Linked DNA regions of Saccharomyces cerevisiae S288C. The protein of the gene in region 1 binds, or shares a complex with, the protein of each later gene. Links are inferred from orthologs where the notes say so. Each region holds a gene or a part of one and is shown on either strand. Other genes may lie near its edges. A codon is read from its position in the direction of its gene.

The links.
Region 2: the proteins of RIP1 (region 1) and BCS1 are in contact, whole or in part, in a cryo-EM structure (PDB 9GS2), measured with the Saccharomyces cerevisiae proteins. Residues at the interface, in NP_010890.3 of Saccharomyces cerevisiae: Asp133 (codon at 3,004), Met134 (codon at 3,007), Ser135 (codon at 3,010), Asp139 (codon at 3,022), Pro140 (codon at 3,025), Gln141 (codon at 3,028), Thr142 (codon at 3,031), Ala144 (codon at 3,037), Asp145 (codon at 3,040), Arg146 (codon at 3,043), Val147 (codon at 3,046), Lys148 (codon at 3,049), Tyr205 (codon at 3,220); in NP_010663.1 of Saccharomyces cerevisiae: Phe209 (codon at 2,632), Gly210 (codon at 2,635), Arg214 (codon at 2,647), Asn297 (codon at 2,896), Thr299 (codon at 2,902), Arg302 (codon at 2,911), His337 (codon at 3,016).
Region 3: the proteins of RIP1 (region 1) and COB are in contact, whole or in part, in a cryo-EM structure (PDB 8EC0), measured with the Saccharomyces cerevisiae proteins. Residues at the interface, in NP_010890.3 of Saccharomyces cerevisiae: Ile79 (codon at 2,842), Met82 (codon at 2,851), Thr83 (codon at 2,854), Ala84 (codon at 2,857), Thr85 (codon at 2,860), Val88 (codon at 2,869), Val108 (codon at 2,929), Val109 (codon at 2,932), Lys110 (codon at 2,935), Gln112 (codon at 2,941), Gly113 (codon at 2,944), Lys114 (codon at 2,947), Pro115 (codon at 2,950), Ile158 (codon at 3,079), Thr160 (codon at 3,085), His161 (codon at 3,088), Leu162 (codon at 3,091), Gly163 (codon at 3,094), Cys164 (codon at 3,097), Val165 (codon at 3,100), Ile167 (codon at 3,106), Phe177 (codon at 3,136), Pro179 (codon at 3,142), Cys180 (codon at 3,145), His181 (codon at 3,148), Gly182 (codon at 3,151), Ser183 (codon at 3,154), His184 (codon at 3,157), Gly194 (codon at 3,187), Pro195 (codon at 3,190); in NP_009315.1 of Saccharomyces cerevisiae: Trp142, Thr145, Val146 (codon at 4,861), Asn149 (codon at 4,870), Leu150 (codon at 4,873), Trp164, Trp166, Gly167 (codon at 4,924), Gly168 (codon at 4,927), Phe169 (codon at 4,930), Ser170 (codon at 6,556), Val171 (codon at 6,559), Ser172 (codon at 6,562), Pro174 (codon at 6,568), Arg178 (codon at 6,580), Pro262 (codon at 8,249), Leu263 (codon at 8,252), Thr265, Pro266, Ala267, Ile269, Tyr279, Leu282, Arg283, Ile285, Pro286, Asp287, Lys288, Cys342, His343.
Region 4: the proteins of RIP1 (region 1) and CYT1 are in contact, whole or in part, in a cryo-EM structure (PDB 8ABB), measured with the Yarrowia lipolytica proteins. The link is inferred for Saccharomyces cerevisiae S288C from one-to-one orthologs. Residues at the interface, in XP_499709.1 of Yarrowia lipolytica: Gly39, Lys40, Ser41, Thr42, Lys44, Pro46, Asp47, Phe48, Tyr51, Phe64, Ser65, Met68, Ile69, Ser71, Phe72, Leu75, Ser76, Ala95, Asp96, Ala99, Met100, Glu104, Lys119; in XP_500165.3 of Yarrowia lipolytica: Arg163, Lys176, Asp186, Glu187, Pro188, Arg195, Lys200, Ala202, Val326, Ala329, Met330, Leu333, Ser334, Tyr336, Ile337, Phe340, Asn347, Lys349, Ile351, Tyr352, Asn353.

The regions. Positions count from the first base shown.
Region 1 is NC_001137.3:104,653-108,906, forward strand, and holds RIP1 (ubiquinol--cytochrome-c reductase catalytic subunit RIP1), read left to right. Parts: upstream 1-2,607; coding exon 2,608-3,255; downstream 3,256-4,254. Other genes in the region: YEL025C (uncharacterized protein), read right to left, coding at 1-1,495; YEL023C (uncharacterized protein), read right to left, coding at 3,852-4,254. UniProt on the Saccharomyces cerevisiae protein: Component of the ubiquinol-cytochrome c oxidoreductase, a multisubunit transmembrane complex that is part of the mitochondrial electron transport chain which drives oxidative phosphorylation.
Region 2 is NC_001136.10:1,223,643-1,228,543, reverse strand, and holds BCS1 (bifunctional AAA family ATPase chaperone/translocase BCS1), read left to right. Parts: upstream 1-2,007; coding exon 2,008-3,378; downstream 3,379-4,901. Other genes in the region: ARH1 (NADPH-adrenodoxin reductase), read right to left, coding at 241-1,722; WIP1 (Wip1p), read right to left, coding at 3,518-3,787; PHO92 (mRNA-binding phosphate metabolism regulator), read left to right, coding at 4,150-4,901.
Region 3 is NC_001224.1:34,287-43,312, forward strand, and holds the start of COB (cytochrome b), read left to right. Parts: upstream 1-2,253; coding exon 2,254-2,668; intron 2,669-3,436; coding exon 3,437-3,450; coding exon of another isoform or gene 3,451-4,293; intron 4,294-4,854; coding exon 4,855-4,931; coding exon of another isoform or gene 4,932-5,979; intron 5,980-6,554; coding exon 6,555-6,804; coding exon of another isoform or gene 6,805-7,965; intron 7,966-8,221; coding exon 8,222-8,272; intron 8,273-9,010; coding exon 9,011-9,026. Other genes in the region: intron-encoded RNA maturase bI4, read left to right, coding at 2,254-2,668, 3,437-3,450, 4,855-4,931, 6,555-7,965; cytochrome b mRNA maturase bI3, read left to right, coding at 2,254-2,668, 3,437-3,450, 4,855-5,979; cytochrome b mRNA maturase bI2, read left to right, coding at 2,254-2,668, 3,437-4,293. UniProt on the Saccharomyces cerevisiae protein: Component of the ubiquinol-cytochrome c oxidoreductase, a multisubunit transmembrane complex that is part of the mitochondrial electron transport chain which drives oxidative phosphorylation.
Region 4 is NC_001147.6:445,260-449,715, forward strand, and holds CYT1 (ubiquinol--cytochrome-c reductase catalytic subunit CYT1), read left to right. Parts: upstream 1-2,179; coding exon 2,180-3,109; downstream 3,110-4,456. Other genes in the region: 60S ribosomal protein uL3 RPL3, read left to right, coding at 1-590; YNG1 (Yng1p), read right to left, coding at 820-1,479; MSA1 (Msa1p), read left to right, coding at 4,177-4,456. UniProt on the Saccharomyces cerevisiae protein: Component of the ubiquinol-cytochrome c oxidoreductase, a multisubunit transmembrane complex that is part of the mitochondrial electron transport chain which drives oxidative phosphorylation.

The DNA.
Region 1 (4,254 bases):
CGTAATCATAAGGCTCATCCATTAAAAATATTCCGTTCTTATAAATCAACCCACCTGATTCATATGCAAATTCGTCACCACCATTAAGTGCTAAATCTGTAACCCAAAAATCAGTTACATTCTCTACTAGCGCTTTGGAGGAAGTCACTAACTTGAACAGGGTTTTGTCATATACCAAAATTTTCTTTTCTAAAAATCCTCTTCTTGAGTTAAAACTTCCACCCAAAAGCAGTGAATCAATATCTGTCCCCTTGTTTCCAATAACTTGTGATGCCAGGTAAACTTTGTTTGTATAAGCGGGACCGCTTTTCACCTTTTCTAATTTTGAACCTCGATGATCTTTCGATATAAAATTTACTCCATTTATTCTTGTCACCGCTATATACTTTTCACGTGGGAGCTGCAAAATAACATCGCATAGATCATGTTTAGGAGGCTTGAACACTCTTTCTTTTGTCCATTGTAGTTCTTTCAGGACGTGGTCTCTATGTAACGACCTAGTGTGTATCTTGGCAGTGTATTTGTTAGCATACACGTCAGAAATTGTCAAGAGAATGACTGATCTTTCATATATCACATCATAAGAATCTTTTAGAAATTGGTAGTTTTCTACATTTGGGAGACCTTTATTATTGAAAAAAGCCCCGTTTGTAAGCCCACTTGCTTTTATATTTATTATTTGAGTGTAGTTAGTAGTCAACACTACAATGGTATGGCCGCAAACTACCTTCATATAACAAAATTCATTATCACATATCGGCAAAAGATTGTATTGGCGGTACTCGTTTAAATCAAATTTCCTACTTCCATGCTTTCCAGCAAGATTGTATTCCTTTAAAAACAGGTTTTCACTATAGCAACTCTTAAGTAGGCAAAGAAAATAAACGTGTGATTTACCTGTGCATGTGGCGTCGTCAAGCAAATCCTCCCTGCTAATAAAATCAAAGGAGATAATTTCTTCGCCATCGGTGGCATAAAATCTTTCGACTATTCCTTCTCTGAAGTCAAAGGAGTAAATTGTCGTACATAACGTATGCAAATCACTATCATATGATATGTTTTTATTGCAAGTGTATAAAACACCCTCAAAGGAAGCATTTAACCAGCTGGAAGTTAATAAAGAAATAGTATCCAGTTTCGGAGCCACATTAGAGTCGTAGATAATTTCAAATTTGTTATTTTCGCATTTGAATCCCTTAATGGAACCGTCGTTAAACATTAGCAGGTGACAGAAGGAAGCTGACATGAACATCGGTACAGTTGCGTAGTTAACAACGAACGGTCCATCTAAAGCGAACTCAACCTTCGCTTTCAATTCGTTGGACGTTCCGGTATACAATCCATAGCTAAAACATAAAAAGTAACTTCCTTCGTGATGAAGACAACTTACCAGCTTCTCAGCCTCATCTTTTGATCTATAAGATGTTATGCATAAAGGTAAAAAGGCCGAATTGCTATCCAATTTTTTGCAGTCCGTTTCATCTTGTCTTGCCATTTTACGTGGCAATGGCTAGTGCAATATGCAATGCGCTAACGCTGACATTATAACACAATATATTTTTCTACCCTCCCTTTCGCTGAGTTGCGACCAGAATGTCTGTTTTTCAGTCATGTATTTCTTTCCGCTTTAGGCGTTCAGGCAAGCGCGTTCAGTTGAAAGCAAATAGAACCTATAACGACGAATACGCTTAAAGGAAGTATACAGGAAATAGAAAAAGAAGCGTACTGCATGTACTAAAAACCAAAAAAAACACCACATCGGCTCTCTGGTTGTATCCATACTTTCCCTAAAATTTTGTAACTCAAGAAAATACCTACATAAAACGATAATCAGTGGATTGCACTGATCAAGTCGAAAAACTCCGTACATGCCCGTCTATCCCTGTCTCATCCATATAAACTGAACTAGGTAGAAAAAAATACCTACCCTTTCTTTAACCGCCTGGTATATTAAATACCATTGTCAATTGAGAAGCTAACAGCCATTGTAAGAGTTATGTCCAGTGTCCGACTAAGACAAGGTAACCATACGTTGATAGCTATGAATACCCCAGAGGAAGATTATTCTTTCTCATAAATCCTTTTTATTGGTTTCAAAAATCCACCAATAAGTTCATATAGCTTGGGCGGCTATTCATGCGTAATATAATGTGCATGAAGTACGACCCATCGACTCTTAGAGCAAATGCTTCCTAAATTGAAATAACTAGCCGCCTTTAATTCGAGCCTTCTTGTCATCTTGTGTATTTCATCCTTTCAACTTCTCCTGTTCCACCTTTCACTCTAAGCTTCCCTATCATTTGGCCTCTTTCAGGTTCGTCCATAGCGCATCTTTTTCCTTTTAGACACTCCATAACGGACCAATCAGCGTTTTGCGCCATTTATCGGTCTTGGGTCACGTGCGGCGACGCGGAGGCTCCCTTATAAGGACTGGAAAAAGACCTGCAAGAACTATAGTTGGTTCTTGAATATCAAGTAATATATTACTTCTCTGTCGTAACTTTTTGTTGCTTTCAAGTTCAACGTCTTTTAAAAACCAAGAAATTATTGAACATAAATAATATCACTCTAACACTTATTAGGAAACCGAAAGGAGCAATAACAAACATGTTAGGAATAAGATCATCTGTCAAGACCTGCTTCAAGCCAATGTCTTTAACTTCCAAAAGACTGATTTCTCAATCTTTGCTGGCTAGCAAATCCACGTACAGGACCCCAAATTTTGATGACGTTTTAAAGGAAAATAACGATGCTGATAAAGGCCGTTCTTATGCTTACTTTATGGTCGGTGCTATGGGTCTTTTGTCATCTGCAGGTGCCAAATCAACCGTAGAAACCTTTATTTCATCTATGACCGCTACTGCCGATGTTTTGGCTATGGCTAAAGTTGAAGTTAATTTAGCGGCTATCCCATTGGGTAAAAACGTGGTTGTCAAATGGCAAGGTAAGCCTGTGTTCATTAGACACAGAACTCCTCATGAAATTCAGGAAGCCAACAGTGTGGATATGTCCGCTTTGAAGGACCCACAGACCGATGCTGACAGAGTCAAAGACCCTCAATGGTTAATTATGCTGGGTATTTGTACTCACTTAGGTTGTGTTCCAATTGGTGAAGCCGGTGATTTTGGTGGTTGGTTCTGTCCTTGCCATGGTTCACATTATGATATTTCCGGTAGAATCAGAAAGGGACCTGCCCCCTTAAACTTAGAAATTCCTGCTTATGAATTCGATGGTGATAAGGTCATTGTTGGTTAGGTTTGTTTTTCGTCCTCGAAAACTACATCTTTATTGTCTATTTGTTTCACCCTTATTTTGATTTTTCATTTACTATCCATTATGTTATGAACGGGAACTATACAACTAACCTAAGAATTTTGAAATCACAACAAAAATAATCAACATCACAGTCTCGAAGGGATTACGCTCAAAAAGGAACGAAAATCACTATACTGTATTCCCTGTTGATTTTCCTAAGAATATATTCTTATACAATATGGAGAAAACAAAAGGATAAGAAAAGAAAGGGGAAATAAAGAAGATTTGGACCTATTTATTACTACTTTTTTGTCTCACCATCTTCTTTTTCTATTCATAATATTTGATATTCCTTTATTTATCTGCATGTATTTATAATTAACGAAACTATTTATCTTCCCTCGTCCTGCCTTATCCTTCTTTTCTCCAAATGTTTTACCTAAGATTGGCCTGTATTTGAATATTGATGTCCAGAAGCAGAAGATTTCACATGTTGTATAAAGTATACAAGATTGTAAAAATGATTGAAGTATTTTTATATATGTATATTACCTATAAAATTTTTTATATTACGTACCGAAGGGGTTTTTTTAATGCTAAAGCGATTCATCTTGCTGTAGGTATATTTTTAAATCATCTGGAATATCTGTCCAGGAATTACTATCCCAGTCCATGAATTTCTTTTTTAATTGGGAGTATTTACTGTCAAATAATCTTGAATTGTATGTCGTTGCAAAATAACTTGCTTTTTGACCCATGTGGAGTTCCTGCCCTTCCTCATTATCAAAAAAGCCCCCATTGATTTCACTCCCGTTGCTATTATCTTGCTTATCATATTTATTTGAAACTTTATTACTTTTTAAATCAATACCTTCCAAATCTTGGAACAATTGCCTTACATATTCCGGCATATTGTCCGGTCTATACCTACGATCAAACTTAATTCTCCAATAGACTGACCAATGTAAACTGACATATTCGGGTACATAACGAGATCTT
Region 2 (4,901 bases), on another chromosome or scaffold:
AATGTCTTTTCTTGCCCTAGAAAATAATGCCTTTCTTTATAATCAAAATGGGGAAGCCAAGCACTCACTTTCTTGCTATCAAGTACTTGAAGTTTCTCGTTCTATTTCCCCGAGGACCACGCGCGGGATACTTACTATTGAGAAATCCTTCGATATGATTGGTTCTCTCCGTAATAAGATCAACCCTTTTAAAATATTTACATTTACAAGAAGATGTTAGAAATATATTAACGATCTATTTTATATGCCTTCTACACCGTTCCACAACTCTTCAAAAGTTAAAAACTTTGACCGAGTTTTGTGTTCCTTTTTGCCCCGAAGCAATTCCTTCTTGTTGATTCTTTCCCAATCCTTCCATGTGGTGTGCTTGATATTAGAGAGGTCGATAGAATTCTCTAAGGATAGCGCTCCGCTGACCACCAAGTCTTGTATTACTCTGTCTCCAACTTCAAAAGCATCTTGCATTGTCGAGGCAATAACGCCCTGGCTGCCCTTACGGATCCAACCAGATGCATATAAATGTGGGAATATTTCTCCGCTGGAAGTTAAAACACGACCCTGTTTATTAGCTATATGATCTTTGTCAAATCCAATAGACAACTTAGAGAATTCAGGCATGGGAACGCCTGCATATCCCAATGAAGTAATCAGCAAATCCACTTTATATGTCATAATATTATTGACGTCCTTCAAGGGTTGCAAACTGTTATCTTCATTTAATCGATTGTTACATAAACTCAAAGAGTTGATTGCACCAAAATCGTCTCTATTAATTTTCAAGGGAGTCTTCAAATAATCTAACTCCCAGAATTTGTCATATCCGCTGCTTGGAGGAGGAGCCTTTTTATAGTTTTTCTTCGAACGTTCATTAAATGGCTTGAGATACTCACTACACATCTCTACTCGTCTATTGAATGCACGATCGTACTTAGATGGGTCAAACATTTCTTTCTGGAAAAATTTAGGATCAATACGGCCACGTATGCCATACTTTTCTAACTCCCATAGTTCTCTTAATTCTTTGTTGGTGAATTTGGAATGAACGAAATCCCTTCGTGCAATTAGCTTAACGTCCTTTACAGGTGCCCTTCTTAGCAAATTTAGTGCAAGAGATGAGATGTCCGTATTTTCCCATATTTCATCAATTTGATTAGAAATAAGTACACGCGTAATATCAAGAGCAACGTTACCGTTTCCTATAATACCAACTTTCGAAACTTTGCTCCAGTCAAAATCGGTAAATCGCTTATCCTTTGCGAAATCAGGATGACCATTGTACCAATTGACAAATTCTCTACTGCTAAACACCCCTTTTGTTCCGAGTTCGCCAGGGATATTCAGCTTTCTGTCCCCTGTACAACCATAACTTAAAATAACAGCATCTTGATTATCCAGCAATTCCTTCAACAATATTTCTTTTCCAATGGTTATACCACCAACAAAGGAAAATTTATGCTTTTGGTTTGTAGGGGAAGAAAACTCTTCTGCACATGTGGTAAACGTTTCTTCACAATTTTTGACTTCTGGATGATCAGGTGCCACACCATATCTACTTAAACCAAAAGGAACAGGTAACTTTTCCCATATAGTAACATTTAATGGAATCGGTGACTTCTTGAGTAAATGGTACGCTGTATAAAAGCCGGAAGGCCCCGATCCAACAATGGATACAGTCTTACGGTTTATTTGTGAAGAAATGTGCCTTATTTGAACAAAGCTCATTTTCACAAGTAATGAGCTAAAAAAGGAAGAAGAAAGAGTGAGAAACTTTCTAAATGAATGAATGAGGCGTTGTGGCCAAGAACTATAGCAAGCAAAAAACTTTCTGTTACGTTCGAGCTATAGTTTACTGCTCTTCGAATTATATCTCGATTGAGTTACCCTTAAAGAGTGCCGAAAAATCGATGTAAATAGTATAAGTAAAGATTTCCACTCTTCTATATTTGCAACGCAGTAGACGTACCAAGGGACGATTTGAAAAAAAATGAAGTGTGCCCTCAATCTACCATGTCGGATAAGCCGATTGACATACAATATGATAAACAGGCTACTCCAAATCTGAGTGGTGTAATTACTCCGCCAACAAATGAAACTGGTAATGACTCAGTCCGGGAAAAACTTTCAAAACTAGTTGGCGATGCTATGTCAAACAATCCCTATTTTGCCGCCGGCGGTGGTCTTATGATCCTTGGTACAGGTTTAGCTGTAGCTAGATCCGGTATAATAAAAGCCAGCAGGGTCCTATACCGACAAATGATTGTCGACTTAGAGATTCAGTCGAAGGACAAATCATACGCCTGGTTTCTAACATGGATGGCCAAACATCCTCAAAGGGTATCTAGACACTTATCCGTTAGGACAAACTACATACAACATGACAATGGATCAGTTAGTACAAAATTTTCGCTGGTTCCGGGTCCGGGAAATCATTGGATTCGTTATAAGGGTGCTTTTATCCTGATTAAAAGAGAAAGGTCCGCAAAAATGATAGATATCGCAAACGGGTCACCATTTGAGACCGTAACCTTAACTACACTGTACCGTGACAAACATTTGTTCGATGACATTTTGAACGAGGCTAAAGACATAGCCCTGAAGACTACTGAGGGCAAGACTGTTATTTACACTTCTTTCGGCCCTGAATGGAGAAAGTTTGGTCAACCAAAAGCTAAAAGGATGCTGCCCTCCGTCATTTTGGACAGTGGCATCAAAGAGGGTATTCTCGATGACGTTTATGATTTTATGAAGAACGGCAAATGGTACTCTGACAGGGGTATCCCATATCGCAGGGGATATTTACTCTATGGCCCTCCCGGATCTGGTAAGACTAGCTTTATCCAGGCTTTAGCGGGCGAATTAGACTACAACATTTGTATTTTAAACCTCTCCGAAAATAATTTAACAGATGACAGATTAAACCACTTAATGAATAACATGCCAGAAAGGAGCATACTATTACTGGAAGATATTGACGCGGCGTTCAACAAAAGAAGTCAAACTGGTGAACAAGGTTTTCATTCTAGCGTAACATTTAGCGGTTTACTGAATGCCCTGGATGGCGTCACATCTTCTGAAGAAACTATTACATTCATGACTACCAATCATCCTGAAAAGCTAGACGCGGCTATAATGAGACCAGGTCGTATTGACTACAAAGTCTTCGTTGGTAACGCAACTCCATACCAGGTAGAAAAAATGTTTATGAAATTTTACCCAGGTGAGACTGATATATGCAAAAAGTTTGTAAATAGTGTTAAAGAATTGGATATCACCGTAAGTACCGCCCAGTTGCAAGGACTTTTCGTTATGAATAAAGATGCACCACACGATGCGTTGAAAATGGTCTCCAGCTTACGGAACGCTAATCATATTTTCTAGGTGCTAAGTGGCGCCTTACTACATAACTTGTATATAATAAAAATTCAGAAGATGCTTTAACTTTTTCTCGTTAATAAGACCGAGTTATTTGCTATTACGAACAAAAGAGTATATGATAAAGAGGCTTAAAAATACCCCTTCATTGACTATCCAGAAAAGCCTGCGTTGCAGCTTCAATATGATAAGGATATACTTCCCTCAAACCTTCTGCAGTTGCCCTTGTTCTAGCATCCAGCAGAATTTTTCTTAAAATGGCCTGAAATCCACATGCCAATAATAATTTCTTGTTATATTCTTGACTAGACTCTTGATCTTCATTTTGCCGTTGGAGAAGATCTTCTAGCTTATTCTCCTCCGCATCTAAACTAAGCTGCCGTAGCAAATAATTGGCCAATGCTTCCGTATCCATGGAAGAATGTTAGGAACTGTTGCTATTGTTGTACTTTGGTTATACGACAGTAAGTAACGTTGACTTGGTGACCGAAAATAGACACGAAATCGCTACCCGTTTCCCCAGAATATCACTCCTCACGATGTACCTCGGCGGCTAATCTTTTTGGTAGCCTTTTGTGATATATATATAAATAAATAAGTATACATACATATATATATATATATATTTATACAGCTACATTGTTTTCCTCCAAAATTTTCTGTTGGTTATGAATCGCAAAAGAAGTTTTCAGATTGTGTCCTCTGTTACTATTTCGTTAAGAAAGGAAGATATCGTCTACGGCTGGTGTGACGTAAGTATTGCGTTGTGCTCTAAAAATGAATCAAATCTGGTCTACAGGTCCCCCAAATTTTTACTTCAACTCTGAATGGAAAGAAAATAAGAGAAATGACAGGACAATTGAAGACTCTTTAAGAGAACTAGATGGGTTGATCCATTCCTTGGAGAGAACTCATATTGAAGTACAAACAAACCCAAAGCTAAAGAACGATGTCACAGCTTTAAATGATATTAACAAGAAAGAAAATAAAGAAGAGATCACTCATGAAAACTATACACACCAGATTAATAGTATTCCATTGACAAGCTCAAATTTAAATCGGCATTTCTCCTTTTCTAGAGACTACAACCAATCTGATAATAGCAATAATAATTATTACAGGGAATATTTATCCAAACCAAGGTATTTGCAGCAGTCAACTAAAGAACAAACTTTCAATGAAATTAATAAAAGAAAAAGTGCTGCAATTATTCCCCCTTGGTTAAATATTCCAGAAAACTCAAGATTTTTTGTAATAAAGTCCTCGTCTTTGAAGCATGTCAAAAGGTCGTTTTACAACGGAATTTGGTCGTCTACTCATTTCGGCAACAAAAGGCTATCTGAGGCATATAAAAAGCTTAATTCGGGAGCCAAAGTGTTTTTATTTTTTTCAATCAACACATCAGGAAGATTCTGTGGCGTTGCAGAAATGGTATCGGATTTGAAAATGGATTTGGACACCAGTATATGGGAAGATGAACAAAAATATGGCAAAGCCTTTAAAGTAAGATGGGTGATCGTGCGTGATAT
Region 3 (9,026 bases), on another chromosome or scaffold:
AGTTCCGGGGCCCGGCCACGGGAGCCGGAACCCCGAAAGGAGAAATAATAATATAATATATAATAAAATATAACTTATTAATATAATATTAAAAATATAATTAACAAGAATAAATAGTCCGTGGGATCGAACCCCCTTTTTTATTTAATATTTAATATTTAAAGAAGGAATTGTTTATATATATTAATATCTTATTTGGGGATTAATATAATATATAAGTTTTGGATACCAGGCCAAAGACCGGAATCCCAAAAGGAGATTATATAAATATTATTTATCTCCCTTTTTTAATATTATAATAATTTTATTAAAAATAAAATAATAATAATAATTATAATTTATAATAACAATTATAATAATTTAATTAATTAATTAATTAATTAATTAATTAATTAATTAATTAATAATAAATATAAATATAAAAAGAATATAATTTATAATAAATAAATTTATATATATATATATATATTAAATAAAATATTTACTTCATTAATATAAAATATAAATATATTTAATTAATAAGTATATATATATAATAATATATAATAACCTATTTATATATATAATCTTAATATAATTATAAGAAATATTATATAAGTAATATATAAAAATAATATAAAATAATTATAATTCAATTTATATATTAATAGTTCCGGGGCCCGGCCACGGGAGCCGGAACCCCGAAAGGAGGAATAAGATAAATATATAAATTATATTAATAAATATAAATTTTAAATGAATTAATAAAATTAATATATATATGTATATATATATATATATTAAAAATATTTAATTATTTTTAGGAAGGAGTGATAGATCCCTTTGGGGGACCGAACCCCTATTTAAGAAGGAGTGCGGGACCCCGTGGGAACCGAACCCCTTTTTTATTTAAAGAAGAAGTTTTATTTTATTTTATTTTATTTTATTTTATTTTATTTTATTTTATTTTATTTTATTTTATTTAATTTAATTTTAATTAGGTTAATAAATAGTAATAATAAACTTAATAATAATAATAATAATTTTATTTTTATAATTTATTAATAATAATAATAATTATATATATATATATTATTAATAAATATAGACCTTATCGTCTAATGGTTACGACATCACCTCTTCATGTTGATAATATCGGTTCGATTCCGATTAAGGTTATTCATAATAATAAATATTTGTAAAAAAAGTATATATAATTAAACATATTCTTTATATTAATTAATAATTATTAATAATATACATTTTATATAATACAATTATATATATATATATATTTTTTTTTAATACAAATAATATATTCATAATAATAAATACCGATTGTTATTATACTATAATAAAATATATAATATATTTTTCATTATAATATTTTTAAATAAATATTATAATAAATTATATAAATAATATTTATGTATAATAATAATAATAATAATTGTTATTAATTAATTCTATAATTATTATATATTTAATTTTTTTTTTTAATATAATATATAATAATATAATTTATTTTATTTTTTTTTATAGTTCCGGGGCCCGGTCACGGGAGCCGGAACCCCGAAAGGAGAATATAAATTAATAATAATATAAATAACATATTAACAATAAATTATTGTTAATATAATAATAATAATAACAATATTAATAAATAATATAAAAATTATTAATATTATATTTATATAATATTAATATAAAAATCTTTCATAATATTAATTATTATTAAATAATAATGATATCATTAATATTAATATAATCGTCAATATTATTTATTTATTTATTTATTTATTTATTTATTTATTTATTTATTATTAAATAAATATTTTTAAATATTATATTATATTATTAACTTTTTATTAAAAAAATTAATAATGATATAATATAATTAATATTATCCACGGGACCAATGACCAACCCAGTAGTTGACCGGATTGGCGCCCGCGAGGTTTATATTTAATAAATAATAATAATAATATTAATAAAATCTATTAACTTTTTTTTTTAATGGATTATATTAATGAAAAAAAAATGAGAAATATCTTTTTTTTTTAATAATTATAATTTATATATAATAAAATATGTATATATAATAAAAAAATAGTTTTTAATATTATAATATAATTATATATATAATTATAAATATATATATATATAATAAGTATTAATTAATAATATATATTTATATATTTTTTATTAATTAATATATATAAAATATTAGTAATAAATAATATTATTAATATTTTATAAATAAATAATAATAATATGGCATTTAGAAAATCAAATGTGTATTTAAGTTTAGTGAATAGTTATATTATTGATTCACCACAACCATCATCAATTAATTATTGATGAAATATGGGTTCATTATTAGGTTTATGTTTAGTTATTCAAATTGTAACAGGTATTTTTATGGCTATGCATTATTCATCTAATATTGAATTAGCTTTTTCATCTGTTGAACATATTATAAGAGATGTGCATAATGGTTATATTTTAAGATATTTACATGCAAATGGTGCATCATTCTTTTTTATGGTAATGTTTATGCATATGGCTAAAGGTTTATATTATGGTTCATATAGATCACCAAGAGTACTATTATGAAATGTAGGTGTTATTATTTTCATTTTAACTATTGCTACAGCTTTTTTAGGTTATTGTTGTGTTTATGGACAGAGTGAGACAAGTATAAGTATATTATTATAATATCATACCATTAAATAAATTATTTTAATGAAATGATTATGTTTATATATAACATATACCTAATTAGACATGCATTATTAGTAATAATTTTGTATGAAACTCTAATAATAATAATTATTATTAATTATTAAGGTAAGATTCATATGGATAGCGTAAGTCAATCTAATATTATAAAATATCGTAACATAAACAATATTTTTTTCTATTATTAATTAATAAATAATAATAAATAAAAATAATTATATGAGAAGTAAGATATTCAATTCTGTCTAGAATACATATATATACGTTAATACTCATCGGTATAAAATTAGAATCCTAAGTGAATTATTGAAAGTATAATAATATAAACTTGGTAAGCCCAATTATTTCCATATAATATTAATATAAATATTATATGGTAGTTATATATAATATTATTAAATAAATAATAATAGAAATTATAATATAGATAAGTGGGTAAAAGACTATTGAAAAAGCTAAAGATTATATGTAATGTATAATATAGATCAAATTATTTATATATTTTAATAAAAATATATTAATAATGGTTAATATTATTATTAATTAATTAATTAATTAATTAATAATAATAACGAATAAATGATTAATGTGAAAGCATGCTAACTTCAATATAGGATGATTTATATAGTATATAAATTGTTTGAGCTGTATACTATGAAAGTAGTACGTACAGTTCTGAGTGGGGGAAAATTTGTAAAGATCTACCTATCACAATTGTCACATTGAGGTAATATAAATATCGCCTCAAATATATTTAATATAATAAAACTAATTTATATAATAATGTTAATATTATTAATTTATATTTTTTATACGATTATAATAAGACAAATAATAAAAACTAAAGAATATCTTATATTAATTAAGAGTATAGATTATATTAATAAAAATAAATATATAATTAATTTAAATATAACAAATAAGAAAGATATAAATAATAATATTGGTCCATTAAATATAAACATTTTATCAATTATTTATGGTTCAATATTAGGAGATGGTCATGCTGAAAAAAGAAAAGGTGGTAAAGGAACAAGAATTGTATTTCAACAAGAATATTGTAATATTAATTATTTATATTATTTACATAGTTTATTAGCTAATTTAGGTTATTGTAATACTAATTTACCTTTAATTAAAACTAGATTAGGTAAAAAAGGTAAAATTAGACAATATTTAAAATTTAATACATGAACTTATGATTCATTTAATATGATTTATTCAGAATGGTATATTAAAAATATATCTGGAAAAGGTAATATTAAAGTTATTCCTAAATCTTTAGACAATTATTTAACTCCTTTAGCTTTAGCTATTTGAATTATAGATGATGGATGTAAATTAGGTAAAGGTTTAAAATTCACAACTAATTGTTTTAGTTATAAAGATGTTCAATATTTACTTTATTTATTACATAATAAATATAATATTAAATCTACTATTCTTAAAGGCAATAAAGAAAATACACAATTTGTTATTTATGTATGAAAAGAATCTATACCTATTTTAACTAAAATTGTATCTCCTTATATTATTCCTAGTATAAAATATAAATTAGGTAATTATTTATAATAAAATATATAGTATTATATTAATTATTATATTATTATAATGCGATATTATTGAAAACATGTCAAAATTATATTATTAAGTAACAAGACAGTGGGTTATATAATTATATGATCCCAACAGAATACACCAATAATAGGTATTATTATAAAAAAAATAATAATATTTAATGTTTATTCGAAGAAAATTTATAATATTATTATTATAACACAAGGTTTAATAATCTATATATATATATTATATATATAACTACTGTTATTATTCCATTTACCTAATTAATATATAAATAATGAATTATAATTATTATGATTAATATTTTTATAATAATAACCCCATCATAACATTTATATATAACATTTATATATAACATTTATATATAATATTTATATTATGGTATTATTAGGTATAAATATTTATTCATAAGAGAAAATAGTGATTAAATGGAATTATAAAAAGGGTAGATATTATTAAATACAGGGTATTATTTATATTAATAAATCAATAAATATTGAGATTATTATTATTAAAAAATAATAATAATTTATAAATAATATTATTTTCTTGGCACTAGTTATTACTAATTTATTCTCAGCAATTCCATTTGTAGGTAACGATATTGTATCTTGATTATGAGGTGGGTTTAATATAGAGGATCCATATTATAGTAATATAATATTAAATAAATCTGTTTTATGCTGAAATATCTTCATTTGAATAATAAATTACTATATTATTCAATTAATTATTTATAATAATATAATTTGAAATAAAAATAATATAGTTAAAATATTTATTATAAGAAGAAAATTAGCAGTAATTAATATATATATATATATAAAATTAATTATTCAGAGACTTTATAGTTATTATATAAATAATACTATTATTTATGATAAAAATCATAAATTAAACACAGATAATCCTATTTATGCATATATTGGTGGTTTATTTGAAGGAGATGGTTGAATTACTATTTCAAAAAAAGGTAAATATTTATTATATGAATTAGGTATTGAAATACATATTAGAGATATTCAATTATTATATAAAATTAAAAATATTTTAGGTATTGGTAAAGTAACAATTAAAAAATTAAAAATAAAAGATGGTACTATTAAAGAAATATGTAAATTTAATGTAAGAAATAAAAATCATTTAAAGAATATTATTATTCCTATTTTTGATAAATATCCTATATTAACTAATAAACATTATGATTATTTATATTTTAAAGATAATTTATTAAAAGATATTAAATATTATAATGATTTATCTTATTATTTACGTCCTATTAAACCATTTAATACTCTTGAAGATATTTTAAATAAAAATTATTTTTCTTCATGATTAATTGGTTTTTTTGAAGCTGAAAGTTGTTTTAGTATTTATAAACCTATAAATAAAAAAATAAAACTTGCTAGTTTTGAAGTATCTCAAAATAATAGTATAGAAGTTATATTAGCTATTAAATCATATTTAAAAATTACTCAAAATATTTATACAGATAAATTTAATAATTCAAGAATAACACTTAAAAGTATTAATGGTATTAAAAATGTTGTAATATTTATTAATAATAACCCTATTAAATTATTAGGTTATAAAAAATTACAATATTTATTATTCTTAAAAGATTTACGTCTTATTCTTAAATATAATAATTATTTTAAAATTCCTCCTAAATATTAATCTTATATAAAAATATAATAATAATATATTTATATATTATATAATTATATAAACAAAATATAATTTATATATAATTATTTATTATAAATATAGTCCGGCCCGCCCCGCGGGGCGGACCCCGGAGGAGTGAGGGACCCCTCCCTATTCTAACGGGAGGGGGACCGAACCCCGAAGGAGTTTAATTATATATTAAATATATTATTATCAATAAATAATTCCTTTGAACTATTTATTATTTTATTATATTTATTTTCTCCTTCATTATTAATTTTTATTAATAATTAAAATCTTATCATTTTATGGTATTTTTATTTCTATTTTAGGATATCGAAACTATAAATTAAAAAGTATAATTTTATTAATTATAATTTATGATTAATAAATAAGAAATAAAAACTTTAGAAGTAATATTTATCTTTTTTTTTTATAAATAAATATTATGATTAATATATAATCATTTATAAATATTTATATATAATTATATATATACATAAATAGGATTAAGATATAGTCCGAACAATATAGTGATATATTGATAATAGTTTTCAAATATGTAACTATTTAAACATTAAAAGCTCAGTATCTAACCCTCTAATCCAGAGATTCTTTGCGTTACATTATTTAGTACCTTTTATCATTGCTGCAATGGTTATTATGCATTTAATGGCATTACATATTCATGGTTCATCTAATCCATTAGGTATTACAGGTAATTTAGATAGAATTCCAATGCATTCATACTTTATTTTTAAAGATTTAGTAACTGTTTTCTTATTTATGTTAATTTTAGCATTATTTGTATTCTATTCACCTAATACTTTAGGTCAAAATATGGCCTTATTATTAATTACATATGTAATTAATATTTTATGTGCTGTATGCTGGAAATCTTTATTTATTAAATATCAATGAAAAATTTATAATAAAACTCTATATTATTTTATTATTCAAAATATTTTAAATACAAAACAATTAAATAATTTCGTATTAAAATTTAATTGAACAAAGCAATATAATAAAATAAATATTGTAAGTGATTTATTTAATCCCAATAGAGTAAAATATTATTATAAAGAAGATAATCAGCAGGTAACCAATATAAATTCTTCTAATACTCACTTAACGAGTAATAAAAAGAATTTATTAGTAGATACTTCAGAGACTACACGCACACTAAAAAATAAATTTAATTATTTATTAAATATTTTTAATATAAAAAAAATAAATCAAATTATTCTTAAAAGACATTATAGTATTTATAAAGATAGTAATATTAGATTTAACCAATGATTGGCCGGTTTAATTGACGGAGATGGTTATTTTTGTATTACTAAAAATAAATATGCATCTTGTGAAATTCTTGTAGAATTAAAAGATGAAAAAATGTTAAGACAAATCCAAGATAAATTTGGTGGTTCTGTAAAATTAAGATCAGGTGTTAAGGCTATTAGATATAGATTACAAAATAAAGAAGGTATAATTAAATTAATTAATGCCGTTAATGGTAATATTCGTAATAGTAAAAGATTAGTACAATTTAATAAAGTATGTATTTTATTAAATATCGATTTTAAAGAACCTATTAAATTAACTAAAGATAATGCTTGATTTATAGGGTTCTTTGATGCTGATGGTACTATTAATTATTATTATTCCGGTAAATTAAAAATTAGACCTCAATTAACTATTAGCGTTACAAATAAATATTTACATGATGTTGAATACTATAGAGAAGTATTTGGTGGTAATATTTATTTTGATAAAGCTAAAAATGGTTATTTTAAATGATCTATTAATAATAAAGAATTACATAATATTTTTTATCTTTATAATAAAAGTTGTCCTTCTAAATCTAATAAAGGTAAACGTTTATTTTTAATTGATAAATTTTATTATTTATATGATTTATTAGCTTTTAAAGCACCTCATAATACTGCTTTATATAAAGCTTGATTAAAATTTAATGAAAAATGAAATAATAATTAAATTTTCTCCGTATTCATTATTATATTATCTAATTTATAAAATATTTAAAGATTCCTTATAATAATATAACATCTTTGTAAATTATTGTTAAAGATAATATAAATTATTATGAATCGGTAGATTATATTTTTACAATCTTATTAAATAAAATTCTGATCATTAAACATGATTGAAGAAATAATAATAGTTTATGAAATAAGATAGTGTAATATAAATTTTTATGAAGATATAGTCCATTTTATATTTATTATAAAAGCATCCTGATAACTATATTCCTGGTAATCCTTTAGTAACACCAGCATCTATTGATATTAAAAATATTAATAAAATTATTATTATTTAATCTTATTTATTTTATATAAAAAAAATAAATAATAATTATTAATAAAAATATATTATTTATTTCTCCTTTCGGGGTTATTTATATATATTCCTTTATAATTTATATTTAATATATTATATTAAATATATGAAAAATTATAATAAATAAATTAATTAATTAATAATAAATAATAATAAAAAGTACAGTAGCATTAAATATTCTTAAGTTTCCGCTTTGTGGGAACTCCCATAAGGAGTTTAATGATTAAAATTGGTTAATTGTCAAGAAAATCTAAGGTATTAATAAATAAATAATACTATGACAACTTGCAGCGAAGTTTATATCATCTCTATATTATATATTAATATATATATATAATAATAATAATAATATTAATATAATATAAGATATAAAAACGTTCAACGACTAGAAAGTGAACTGAGATAGTAATACCTTTCCACGAAAACCAATTAATTTATAAATTATTTTTAAATAAAGAATAGATTATTAATTTTTTTTATATAGTTCCGGGCCCCGGCCACGGGAGCCGGAACCCCGGAAGGAGTAATATATATTATATATAAAATAAAAAATATATATATATATATTATAAAATATCAAAAGTTTTAATCTTTTATTATAAATTAATGACATAGTCTGAACAATAATGAAAATTATTGAGATAAGATATTAAATAATCTTATGTTAACATATATAAATTGTGTACCTGAATGATACT
Region 4 (4,456 bases), on another chromosome or scaffold:
TTGACTGGGCTCGTGAACATTTCGAAAAGACTGTTGCTGTCGACAGCGTTTTTGAACAAAACGAAATGATTGACGCTATTGCTGTCACCAAGGGTCACGGTTTCGAAGGTGTTACCCACAGATGGGGTACTAAGAAATTGCCAAGAAAGACTCACAGAGGTCTAAGAAAGGTTGCTTGTATTGGTGCTTGGCATCCAGCCCACGTTATGTGGAGTGTTGCCAGAGCTGGTCAAAGAGGTTACCATTCCAGAACCTCCATTAACCACAAGATTTACAGAGTCGGTAAGGGTGATGATGAAGCTAACGGTGCTACCAGCTTCGACAGAACCAAGAAGACTATTACCCCAATGGGTGGTTTCGTCCACTACGGTGAAATTAAGAACGACTTCATCATGGTTAAAGGTTGTATCCCAGGTAACAGAAAGAGAATTGTTACTTTGAGAAAGTCTTTGTACACCAACACTTCTAGAAAGGCTTTGGAAGAAGTCAGCTTGAAGTGGATTGACACTGCTTCTAAGTTCGGTAAGGGTAGATTCCAAACCCCAGCTGAAAAGCATGCTTTCATGGGTACTTTGAAGAAGGACTTGTAAGAAGTTTTGTTAGAAAATAAATCATTTTTTAATTGAGCATTCTTATTCCTATTTTATTTAAATAGTTTTATGTATTGTTAGCTACATACAACAGTTTAAATCAAATTTTCTTTTTCCCAAGTCCAAAATGGAGGTTTATTTTGATGACCCGCATGCGATTATGTTTTGAAAGTATAAGACTACATACATGTACATATATTTAAACATGTAAACCCGTCCATTATATTGCTTACTTTCTTCTTTTTTGCCGTTTTGACTTGGACCTCTGGTTTGCTATTTCCTTACAATCTTTGCTACAATACCATTTGCCCTTGGGAGCTTGTTTCAGGCCTACGCAACCATAATGGAACCACTCGAAGGGACAAGCCGGATTATCACAAGCCACCATTGGCCCATAAGATACATTCCTACAGAAACAATAAACCTCCTCTTGATTATTATTACCCTCTGTTACATCACCCTGGTTAATCCCAATTGTGGGGCTAGTTATGCTCTCTTTTCTTTCCCTCGATTTAGCCTTTTTCAAGTTAATCTTTAAAAGCAGTTTTGGCTCCTTATATGCTCCTGGTTCTTCTAACGTCAACTTCGACTTGATATTCTCTAGCGAAGAGTTGAAATTTTTTGTCACTGACTTCTGTATCTCTAGTTCCTTCTTATGCTGCTTTAAGAAATGAATCTGATCATCGACCAGATCATTAATATAAGTCGCTACCAGCAACAGATCCCTACAGGCCCTTTCCATACCAGGCTCATCCTCTTCATTCTTGAATAAGTCGATTGTTTGCATCAGTCGAAGAGATCTTATTAGTTCACATGGTAAATGATCCAAAGTGCTAAGGAAACTGTACCTGATATCCGAATCCGAGTTTTCGTTGGCGAGATGTTCCATTGCTGTAGACGAAAAAAACTTCCTTGTAAAGCGGATGTGCTAGCGCATCATACATTTCAGTTCTATTAAGACTTTCACAGATGCTGTTGTGATGTTCTGTGAGCCAATCCCAAATGTTTGTATAAGGACGGAAATAAGACGGAGCGCCACGTGACTGAAGATTTTTTTTTTCTCGGATTTCTTGGTAATGGGCGGCCGGTATTTCCGGCGGCCAAAAAATGCGAGGATTTGGTTGGTGGAGAGGGTCGAGCGCCTTTACCCTGCGTAGATACTAAGGGGGCTCTTTCTAGTATATAAACAATTTGAATAATAACGAGGTTAGACGTCCAACTGGATCCATAGACTATCTAAGCTTTTAGTAGAGGCCATTCGTTTTCTTATTAATCATCGGTTTCACAATCTTTCTTTGTTAAGCAACATTTTATACATTTTTGTACTTTATCTTCAAATATTAAGGACAAGAAAGAAAAAGAAAAAGAATCCATATTCTATATTAGTGTAACACTATTTTTCTTAAATATTTTTTCCAGTACTCCCCCAGTTTGATAAAAAGCATTCATTGAATTTCCCCACATTTGTGATATCTTCAATTGATTAGTTTGAACTAGTTCTGAAAAATAATATTTTACAATTTGCATTTTCATTACACTATATCATCTACTATTTTTTCTCAGAAGCGGAAGTTATAACTAATTTGACAATGTTTTCAAATCTATCTAAACGTTGGGCTCAAAGGACCCTCTCGAAAAGTTTCTACTCTACCGCAACAGGTGCTGCTAGTAAATCTGGCAAGCTTACTCAAAAGCTCGTTACAGCGGGTGTTGCTGCCGCCGGTATCACCGCATCGACTTTACTCTATGCAGACTCCTTAACTGCCGAAGCTATGACCGCAGCTGAACACGGATTGCACGCCCCAGCATATGCTTGGTCCCACAATGGGCCTTTTGAAACATTTGATCATGCATCCATTAGAAGAGGTTACCAGGTTTACCGTGAAGTTTGTGCCGCCTGCCATTCTCTTGACAGAGTTGCTTGGAGAACTTTGGTTGGTGTTTCTCATACCAACGAAGAGGTTCGTAATATGGCCGAAGAATTTGAATACGATGACGAACCTGATGAACAAGGTAACCCTAAAAAGAGACCAGGTAAGTTGTCCGATTACATCCCTGGCCCATACCCAAACGAACAGGCTGCAAGAGCTGCCAATCAAGGTGCCTTGCCACCTGATCTATCTTTGATCGTGAAAGCTAGACACGGTGGTTGTGACTACATTTTCTCTTTGTTGACCGGTTATCCTGATGAACCTCCTGCTGGTGTGGCTTTACCACCAGGTTCTAATTATAACCCTTACTTCCCAGGTGGTTCCATTGCAATGGCAAGAGTCTTGTTTGATGACATGGTTGAGTACGAAGATGGTACCCCCGCAACGACATCTCAAATGGCAAAGGACGTTACCACCTTTTTAAACTGGTGTGCCGAACCTGAACATGACGAAAGAAAGAGATTGGGTTTGAAAACGGTGATAATCTTATCATCTTTGTATTTGCTATCTATCTGGGTGAAGAAGTTCAAATGGGCCGGTATCAAAACCAGAAAATTCGTTTTCAATCCACCAAAACCAAGAAAGTAGTTGACAAAAAAATGAAAACCACTATTATTTAAATTACGGAAAAAAAAAAACCAATAAACAAAAAACATAATAAAAGAAATGAAAAAAAAGAATATTAGTAGAGCATACTGAATTGTTTTCAGAAAGAGAGTGAAAGGTAACAAAAATTTACCTACTTTTCCTTTTTATTTCTCTGGTTTCGTTTCTTTTTTTTCGGCCACCCTATTTATTTTTTCACTGCTTGTAAACAACGTCTCACTTCAATAGTGTCTCCTTCATGTACTGAGATACTGCTGCAAGCGAAATATCACGAATAATAATATAAAAAAAAAAAAAAAAAAAAAAAAAGATGTTTAAATGTTAACAACCTAACAGCAATAAAAAATAAAAATAAAGGTAGAAGATTGCAAGAAAGAAACTTTACAATATTTTGTTTGGATGCCCAACACCGGCGTCTTGGTGTTCTTCTATAATATTTATTTTATTTATTTTTTATTTATATATGTACATATATATTCCTATTATCTATTAAGAAAGTAAACTTAGTGTAAATCTACCACTGTTCCAAGGCTTTGGCCATCCACCTTCTCTTTCGTTCCATTAATAATATGACACAATCGTTGAGGATGCGAGCGAGACCGTTATGGTCGATCTTTGAAGTCGCCGCGTAACGCGCTAGTATTTTTTCCTTAAAGAGGCAAACACTTATTTTTCCCTAATAGGAAATCCCTCAAATCGGTTTTTTTCCATATTAGTCCCGTTCTATTGTCTGGTTTCATACCTCTAAAATTTCTCTCGCTGTTCCATCAATTAATACAATCAAGGCACAGCCAGCAAATACTAATAATTCTCTTAATAACTGCTTCCCCTTTGCAGCACCGATAAGGGATCTTTAAGACGGTCTTGAAAATTTTTCGTTAGTTCATTTTTCATTCTCGGAAGTTTTTTTAAATTTTGAGAAGAAGAGCTGGTTGCACATTCCAAGGTGATTAAAGGGATTTGATTAAGTATATATTCACCAACCTGGGTTGTGTAGTTGAAAAGGGGAATAAAAATATCTCAAGAATACTTCGTGAAAAATATTCACTATGGATAAAAGCATGATCAAAAAAAGAGGCAGGCCTCCCATCACCAAAGATTATCCCAATCCCCTACAAAGCCCCATGGCGCATTCTTCAATGCAGGTTCAGAAGCAGGGGCCTCACAGTTTTGCCAAACCTTTGATGAAAGTGGGGCAATCTAGTCCATCCCCGAATAAAAGAAGACTCAGCATCGATCATCATCATAATTTGGCGGCAACTACGAGAAAGGGCAGATACAGGGGCGTTCTTCTTTCTACTCCCACCAAGAAATCGAGCACTAATGGCT